2 linked regions of the Daphnia pulex genome follow. The protein of the gene in region 1 purifies or fractionates together with the protein of each later gene. This does not show direct contact. Links are inferred from orthologs where the notes say so. Each region holds a gene or a part of one and is shown in the gene's direction. Other genes may lie near its edges. The genes, in order: transcription initiation protein SPT3 homolog and ubiquitin carboxyl-terminal hydrolase 22-like.

Region 1 (3,715 bases):
ACGAATTGGAGCGTACTTTAGTGGCTGACCAGCGATTCCAAAAAGCATGTAGTATCGTGCTAGACCTTAGATAAAGAATATATATCATATCCAAATAAGCAGGTCTCCGAAATGTGCAGCCTTACTAAAGATACTTTCCAAATGAGCCACTGTTGAAGCAGTAAATCTAACAAATGTATTCTCTAATCCATAGAAACAAAGACTAAGAACCTAGTAAAATAAATGAATGTGGTTAAGAAATTTCTTCATGACATTATAAGAAACACTGTTTTACCTTGAGAAGGTTAAGATTGTTTGGATCGGAATTTAGGTGTTGCTCTTGGAATTTTATGAACTGGATGATACATGTGTTAATTACATCCTTTGATATTGTAGACCAATCCTTTTCTCCCGAACAGTTGGTAAAATTGCAGAGAATTTTCAGAATGAGAACTGTTTGATTATTGATTTGTTGTTCTTCATTCAATTTATTGATCAAGAATCCAGAAGGACTAAGCACTTTCTCCAAAGCCTAATTTAGTAATTTCAATGGGAAACATTATTGTTCAAAATTTTTCATTCATTCCCAGTTTCAGACCTACTTTAGTTTGTTTAACTTCTTTGAAGTTGACTGCCACAGCAAGACAATTGAAAATGTCAGTAAATATTAAATGATTTTCATTCTTAAGGGATTTTATAATCCAATCAATTAATTGCTCTGATGCTTGACTTGTTAAGTGTACATTTGGAAGTTGTAAAACTTGTTCCCATATTTGACAAGTCTTGGCAACTTTAAAAGATTCTTCATGTTTCACAATTTTTAAAACATCTGATACTAAAATTACAGAATCCTATAAACATAAGATTTTAAACAGTGAAATGAATATAACTTTTATGGAATCTTACTTGAACATTGACTGACGACGATTCCAATTCTTTCCTTTTAAGATCGAAGAAAAGGGTGTTCAGATTATCCAAGAAATTTGTTATTTCTTCCGGATTTGCATTTTTCTTATCTAACAATAGGTTGAGCTTTTCTCGAACCCCTGTCAGATAATTTGTGTCTAATGATTTAAGTTGAGAAAGAGCCATGACTCTATCTCGATTGTCACACTTTGTTTACAAATTGAAGGTCCTTGATTTTTTCGACATTTTCGTCTGCTATGTGTCGACGAAGTACCGAAGGCATCCGCTTGGTTTTTTTTTTTCTTAATTGAAAAATGTTTAAGATTAATGAAAGCGTGGTTCATTCAAAAGTTCATAAAAAATAAAGATTTTTTTTTCCTTACTAAATTTTGGGAAAAAAATTGAAATAGTTTCAAAATTAGCTTTGGCATTGAGGCAAATTCAAATATGTCTAGCTAGGCTAGCAGACTACCACACAATACCTTCTTTTAGGGTTCAGTTCAGACTTCAAACAATAACAAATGGAGTTTTAGAAAACACCGGTTGATATTACTATTTGGTACACGAATTATACCAACACAACTGATATTTTGTAAAAATTAGCAAAATTCTCAATCTCCTAAAAATGCCAGCTGCTGATGTATCCACTAATTCTTCCACCGATGGATGGTACATCTTGGGTAAGTTCATATTAACGACCAACAATGTCAACATTTCCTAACTACATTTAATTCGACATGTTTAGAAATCCAAAAAATGATGTATGGATTTGGCGACAGCAAATATTCGCTGAAAGAAACTGCTGAATTAGTAGAGAAAATTGTGAAGGAACAACTAATTCAGTTCCTGAATGCACTGTCTGAGGTTGCTGTTAAAATTAACTCAAAGAAAATTGGTATCAAAGAATTTCTAGTCTTACTTAGGTAGGTAACCTTCAGTTTAACAATATCTCAAGTTATTCAATATATTGAAGTGATTTCTGTTAAATTAGGCACAGTCCAGTTAAACTGAGAAGATTTTGCACCTATTTACAAGCCAGTGGGTTTAAGGATTTGGCAAAAGAAGATGATTTGCCTAAAGACATAATGACTGAATTTTCTGATCTTCACACTGGAAATAAAAAACTGAATTCTGCTCTTGCATTCCTACAACACCTTGATCCATCATGTTATCTGTGTAATGTGGCAGATCCATCTAAACCTTTCCTGTTACCTGATGATGCCCTCAAGGAACGAAATGAAAGGATTGAGAGAATGACATTAGCCATGGAGAAGGGGCAGTACATTGAATATTCTCAAGTATTTTGATTCAACCTAACTGCTTTTTCAAAATCTAGATTTAACAGAATTGTTTTTGTCAGGCCAAATCTACCTCATTTAAGAGAGGCCAGCCTTCTGGTAAATTTCAAGATTGGTTACTTAAAGATTCTCCAGCTCCTGAGGTTGCTTTAAGTGCGACAGCTTGGTCTATTCTCAGTTACTTTGCTTACGAAACCATCGCACAAATAGTAGATCTGGCCTTCATAGTACGAAGAGACAATATGGCTGGGCAAGTGAGTGACGCAGTTCAACGTAACACTGCACCAAGAGTATCTCCAGCGAATGCTGATTTGTTCAAGGTAAAAGGATTAAAATGAATGTTACAATAATTATAATCATTCTTTAAAACAAAATTTCCGTATTTTTAGCCGACATGGTCAAATTCGATGAAACCTCTTCAAACAGCGGAAGTCTCTGAGGCCATCAGACGGTTCAACAATACACACAACTCAATTTTTTCTCCATTCCGAAGAAATGGTGTTCCTCCTCCTGGACATCGACTTCTGGCACTGTAATTTAAACGTACTGCAAGGGCTTCAAATTCAATATGGCGAAAGCTGCGTCGTAAATTGTTAATATCACTTTCAACATCCAAATTCGTGCGTGCATTGTTGGATGCGATCGGTTGTGTTCATCCTAAAAATAGGAAACTTTAATGTAAAATTGTATGCAAGAAACCTGAATAAAGAATACTCACACATAGGGTGCGAACTGAACTGTAGTAATGGGAATAATCCTGCGATAAAAATAGCAAAAATCGCCATAACTCTGAAGTTATCTTTGCGATGCGAGTGAGTGAAAATTTGTTCAGCATAGGAACAAATCCAGCAATATATTTGGAGGTGATTTCAATTTCTGCTTTATGCTTCAGCAACTTAAAATTGGTCGTATCCAAACTTGGCAGTGGAGGGTAAAGTGAGCAATCCACTCCATCAGAAAATTTTTGAAGTATACAGGCAACCCTACTTCTGTTGTACAAAACCTTTATTGCTTCTAAAATAGAAATGAAAAATTCAATAATTAGTTATTAAAAAGGAACCATGATTTTGGTAAACTGAATACCTCTGAATTGAGGATCAATTTCTAGTCCAGCTAGTCCTACCGCATGCATTGGTTTTGTGGTGTCATTGTGCAAGAAATCATAACTGATAACAGCCTCTGTGATCCATGCTTCAGACATACTTTTACCTTCCGTTGGATGCCTGGATTTAACATGCAACTGTCGTAGCCTTCAAACACAAAAAACACCTACATAGTTAGTATATTAAGGCATTTTAGAGTAAATTGAAATTACAGTTTTTTACCTCATATATTCTTCAAATGATGTCGTCACATCCTTTTTTTTGGTAGAAGGGTTGATAACTGGTCCCACAACACAAGTGATGGTTGAACTCAAGGACTTGTTATCAGAGTTTTTAATACTTGTAAGAATGATTTCAGTATTCTGATCTTTGTAGGCAAAGATATTGCTCAGAACTCTGCTTGCATATTGTGCTCTCATATCAGTAAGG
Region 2 (4,257 bases), on another chromosome or scaffold:
CGATGGCCGATTATGGCATAATTGGATACACCAGCAGGTCTCGAGAGAAAAAAGGGAATTACCGTATACTTATATGGGCTGGTCATCAGCAGGGCGAAGCCATAGGGTTGTTGGATACGTTTGAAAGTATAGAAAAACATGTATATACTTAAATATTGGGAAGCGAGTTCTTCTCCAGCGGCCATTTAGACACATTTCCAGTTTCTTCTTCACGTCCTCGAGGGGCTTTGGGAGTCCTTTTTTTTTCTATTATCAGCTATAAAGTTAAGCTTCGAGAACCTAAAAGAAAAGAAAAATAAAATGAAAAAGAATCCATTTTGAAGGGCATTTCGACTATATAACACTGGCAGACATCCCCAAGTTCTTTTCTTCAAGATTTTGACTTTCAAGGCCACAAGATTATTCCACAACAGCATCATTATTCACGACACATCGTGTCCAATTGGATATCACATGGTTTTTTGGCCACCTCGAAAGCGTTATTATGAAAATTTCGCGTCAAGAATGACTTAACACGTGGGGAGAGATAACTATTTACACACACACACCAGCTGATTGACCATGTCGAATTTATTAACCTTGGATTGATCTTAATTCATTCAGACATGTGGCGATTGAAATGCATCGCCGACATAATCTAGTTTGATTGCCAAAATTGATTGCAAACCAGTTGCCACTTACTTATGGCAGAAATGTGATGTGTTGCACACGTCGTCGATCTCGGCCATTGTGGTCGAATATCGTCGATAAAGGAGACGGTGACGTTTGGTTATTTCACGGCTCGTTGCAATAGCTCAACTTTCGATTTTATTCCACTCCGTTTCACTTCATCCAAGGGCTTCATCATCCGTGTAAACATCACTTTCCAACATTGTTGTTTTTTTAATGCAAGAGTTTCACATTCCACGAGCATTTTGATTCTGGCAAAACGTCTTCTTCGAAATCCCGACCTCATTTTCACCCAGCCAAAACATTGCCAATTATCTTGAATTCGGAAGAAAAGGGGGAAACAAAAACACGTTTCGTTCCAATCTTTTGAAATCATTATATAAAATGAGGTTATCTCCTGGGGAATTGCTTCCTGCACCAAAAAAAAAGTTCACTAGTCCATGTATTATTTCCGAACAAAAGCTAGCGGTTACCACATTTCCGGCGGCCAGGATATAATTGATTTGTTGTCTGCGGTTTTCACACAAAAATCTCCCTCCATTTTTCCTCAAAAAAATCTTGTCTGCTCAACGTTGCACGAGGTTGTTATTTTGGACAGAAGATGGCGATGGCGCTTTACCATTTTAGCAGAATAAATTTTTTTTTTTGGCCTACAGAAAAGGAAAGAAGCTATGGCGTTTAGATAAATTGTTTCTTCTTGAGAAAGCCGTCGAGGTTGGGCTTGTAGAGGCCGAAATTTATTAATTTTCTATAAGGTCTCTATTAAAACGTGTGGAATTATAAAGCCGCCAACATTTTGCCCAAGTCTAATTCACCGTCGGTGGCCATGTCGGCTGCCCATGGCTGTCTCCACTTGAACAACTTCAAAGCGGCCAAGGGGACTAGGCCCTACCGGCTCATTCATTCCTTTTTTGTGGCATGCACATCTTCAGAAGCCCGTAAACGCAAGGTAAGAGTTCAAGTATTGTTTCTTTTAAATCACTCCTTTACTCATCATTTTTGTTGCTAGGCCAAATCGTGTGTGTGTCATGTCTGTCAGCGAAGAGGACCCAGGCTTCATGCCTGCCTTCACTGCATTTTCTTTGGCTGCTATGGTGCTGGTCACATACAGGCCCACTCTCAGCAGCGGAAACATTTCTTAGGTAATTCGACAACCAAAAATCAAATCTCATTGATACTAATGCAGCCTCCTTTTTTTTACAGCTGTAGATCTGACTTATGGAGTTGTGTGCTGCTTTCAGTGTGGGGATTACGTCTATGACCGAGAATTGGAAACTATTGCTCAAAAGCATCAAACCAAAGCTTCTCTCTCCTTGGGACTGGGTCAAGTCTATCATTCATGGGAACCTTCTGAGGAAGAAATTGAGCTCCTCAAAAAGCATACACGACGCAAGAAGATCACAGACTCTGCCACTATCGGTTCATTATTTAAAAAAATTCATTATCCAATCTTTTATCTTAACTCCATGTTTCATTCATGGCAGGACTCAGAGGTCTAGTGAATTTGGGCAACACCTGTTTCATGAACTGCATAGTACAGGCTCTCTTAAAAGTACCTCTTCTCAGAGATTTCTTCTTGTCGGATCGTCATATTTGTCAGTTCCAAGACGAACCGAGTCGCTGTCTGGTCTGCGAAATCTCTCGCCTATTCCAAGAGGTATGTCATCCAAAAAACAAGAATCCTCGTTTCCTGTGAGAAATCTATTTTCGGATTCATAACACTCCTACTAGACTTATCGCTTCTTTTTTAATCTTCTCTTTCGCAGTTCTATTCGGGGAACAAGGCTCCTCTGACATTGCACCGACTTCTTCACTTGATATGGACTCACGCTCGTCATTTAGCTGGATATGAACAGCAAGACGCCCACGAATTTTTCATAGCAACTTTGGATGTACTCCATCGACACTGCAGGTGAAATTATTCATTGGCTATAAAAGTCGTGAGAAACGTGACATTCTAAATATAAATGATTTTTAACAGAGGACCAAATGAGCAACAGTCGACTCAGCCTCAAGAGAACTCTGTCAATCGGTGCACATGTATCATAGATCAAATTTTCACTGGTGGTTTGCAGTCAGACGTCGTTTGTCAAGCTTGCCAGTAATAACTATTTCAAATGTTTGATGTCCTAAATTTGCTGGTCTTAACGGTTATTTTGTTTTTGTTCACTGCAGCGGTGTCTCTACAACAGTAGATCCTTTTTGGGATATTTCCCTGGACCTCGGTCCGTCACCCAGCACGAAAGTCGTCACCACTGGCAACGGCCCTGGATCGATTCCCACTTCCTTGCAGGACTGTTTGGAGCGATTCACCCGGGCAGAGCACTTGGGATCTTCGGCTAAGATCAAGTGTTCGCGATGTCTTAGCTACCAAGAATCCACAAAACAACTGACGATGAAGAAACTGCCAGTGGTTGCTAGTTTTCACCTAAAGGTGCGTATTGTTTTGTTTTTTTATTGACTTTGAACGTCATATTATGAACCACTCATCGTTATTTTTTTCTTTACTTTATGCAGCGCTTTGAACATTCCAATCGATTCCATAAGAAGATCTCGTCATTCATCGCCTTTCCAGAATACCTGGACATGAGTCCATTCATGTCCCACCGTCGAAACATCAATAACAACGTCAATTCGGATTCTCCGGACCGGGCTGATAGGCCCGTCCACAAGCCCCTTATTTCCACTGAAAACATGTAAACTTGTTGCTCGGTTTATTGAGAAAACGACCGAATGTGACTGTGACGGAATCCTCGTTGCTTCCTTCCTTCTCACCCCACCAGGTATTCTCTATTTGCTGTGATCAACCACGTCGGAACCATTGAAGCCGGTCACTACACGGCCTACATCCGGCAGCACCGAGACCATTGGTTCAAGTGCGATGACCATCTCATCACCAAAGCTGATATTCGCGACGTCCTCCAAAGTGAAGGGTATCAAATATTCCACAAAAACAAACTTAGTTTAAAATATTTTGCAATTTGCTTGGTTGTTCTTGGATATTAATTGGGTGATTTGGTTTTTCAGGTACCTACTCTTCTACCACAAGATGATATTGGAGTATGAATAGAAATGGAGAAGAAAAATGTTTGTAAAGGGCAGCTCAACCGAGTCAACTTTTTTTTTTTTGCATGCAACATCCATCCCTCCATTCACAAGACCTTTTTTTTGTTTGTTTTGTTTTTCCTTTTTTAATTTCCCTTTCTCACTTCCACTTCCAGACAGTTCATCGGCGGTTAATGACCGTAGAAAACGACCATTTTCATTTTTTCTTTTTTCACGATTCAATAAAATATGAAAAAAACACAAAATGGTTAGAACAAGGAATTGAAAGACGAAAAAAAAAGCGAGATTTCTCTGACATAAACCCTCCCATTGGTGTTTCTGCCCTTTGGATTCTTTTGATTGTAAATCCCAAGCAACTCTCTCTCCACCCCGCTCCTCCTTCGATCAAAGGTATATATAGTCATTTCCGGCTATTCTCCACCCGAACCCCTTCTCCCGAATCCGAATCACATACACGAGATCTACTTAAAACAGGAAACAAAAATGGACGAAGACCACACGACCATCCGCAATTGATTTATT

The links.
Region 2: the proteins of transcription initiation protein SPT3 homolog (region 1) and ubiquitin carboxyl-terminal hydrolase 22-like purify together in Homo sapiens (affinity purification with western blotting; 6 studies listed by BioGRID and IntAct, with this or other methods). This does not show direct contact. The link is inferred for Daphnia pulex from reciprocal best matches to the Homo sapiens genes SUPT3H and USP22.

Annotation. Positions count from the first base shown.
Region 1 is NC_060027.1:750,049-753,763, reverse strand, and holds transcription initiation protein SPT3 homolog, read left to right. Parts: upstream 1-1,346; 5' UTR 1,347-1,510; coding exon 1,511-1,565; intron 1,566-1,630; coding exon 1,631-1,808; intron 1,809-1,876; coding exon 1,877-2,183; intron 2,184-2,245; coding exon 2,246-2,503; intron 2,504-2,542; exon of another isoform or gene 2,543-2,572; coding exon 2,573-2,719; 3' UTR 2,720-2,720; coding exon of another isoform or gene 2,721-2,840; 3' UTR 2,841-2,901; downstream 2,902-3,715. Other genes in the region: HEAT repeat-containing protein 6-like, read right to left, coding at 1-65, 126-210, 275-511, 582-830, 886-1,071; DALR anticodon-binding domain-containing protein 3-like, read right to left, coding at 2,721-2,840, 2,902-3,197, 3,267-3,433, 3,509-3,715.
Region 2 is NC_060023.1:10,811,893-10,816,149, forward strand, and holds the start of ubiquitin carboxyl-terminal hydrolase 22-like, read left to right. Parts: upstream 1-1,280; 5' UTR 1,281-1,495; coding exon 1,496-1,618; intron 1,619-1,678; coding exon 1,679-1,811; intron 1,812-1,872; coding exon 1,873-2,088; intron 2,089-2,153; coding exon 2,154-2,326; intron 2,327-2,435; coding exon 2,436-2,581; intron 2,582-2,650; coding exon 2,651-2,770; intron 2,771-2,844; coding exon 2,845-3,103; intron 3,104-3,186; coding exon 3,187-3,365; intron 3,366-3,452; coding exon 3,453-3,602; intron 3,603-3,696; coding exon 3,697-3,739; 3' UTR 3,740-4,257. UniProt on the Homo sapiens protein: Deubiquitinase that plays a role in several cellular processes including transcriptional regulation, cell cycle progression or innate immunity.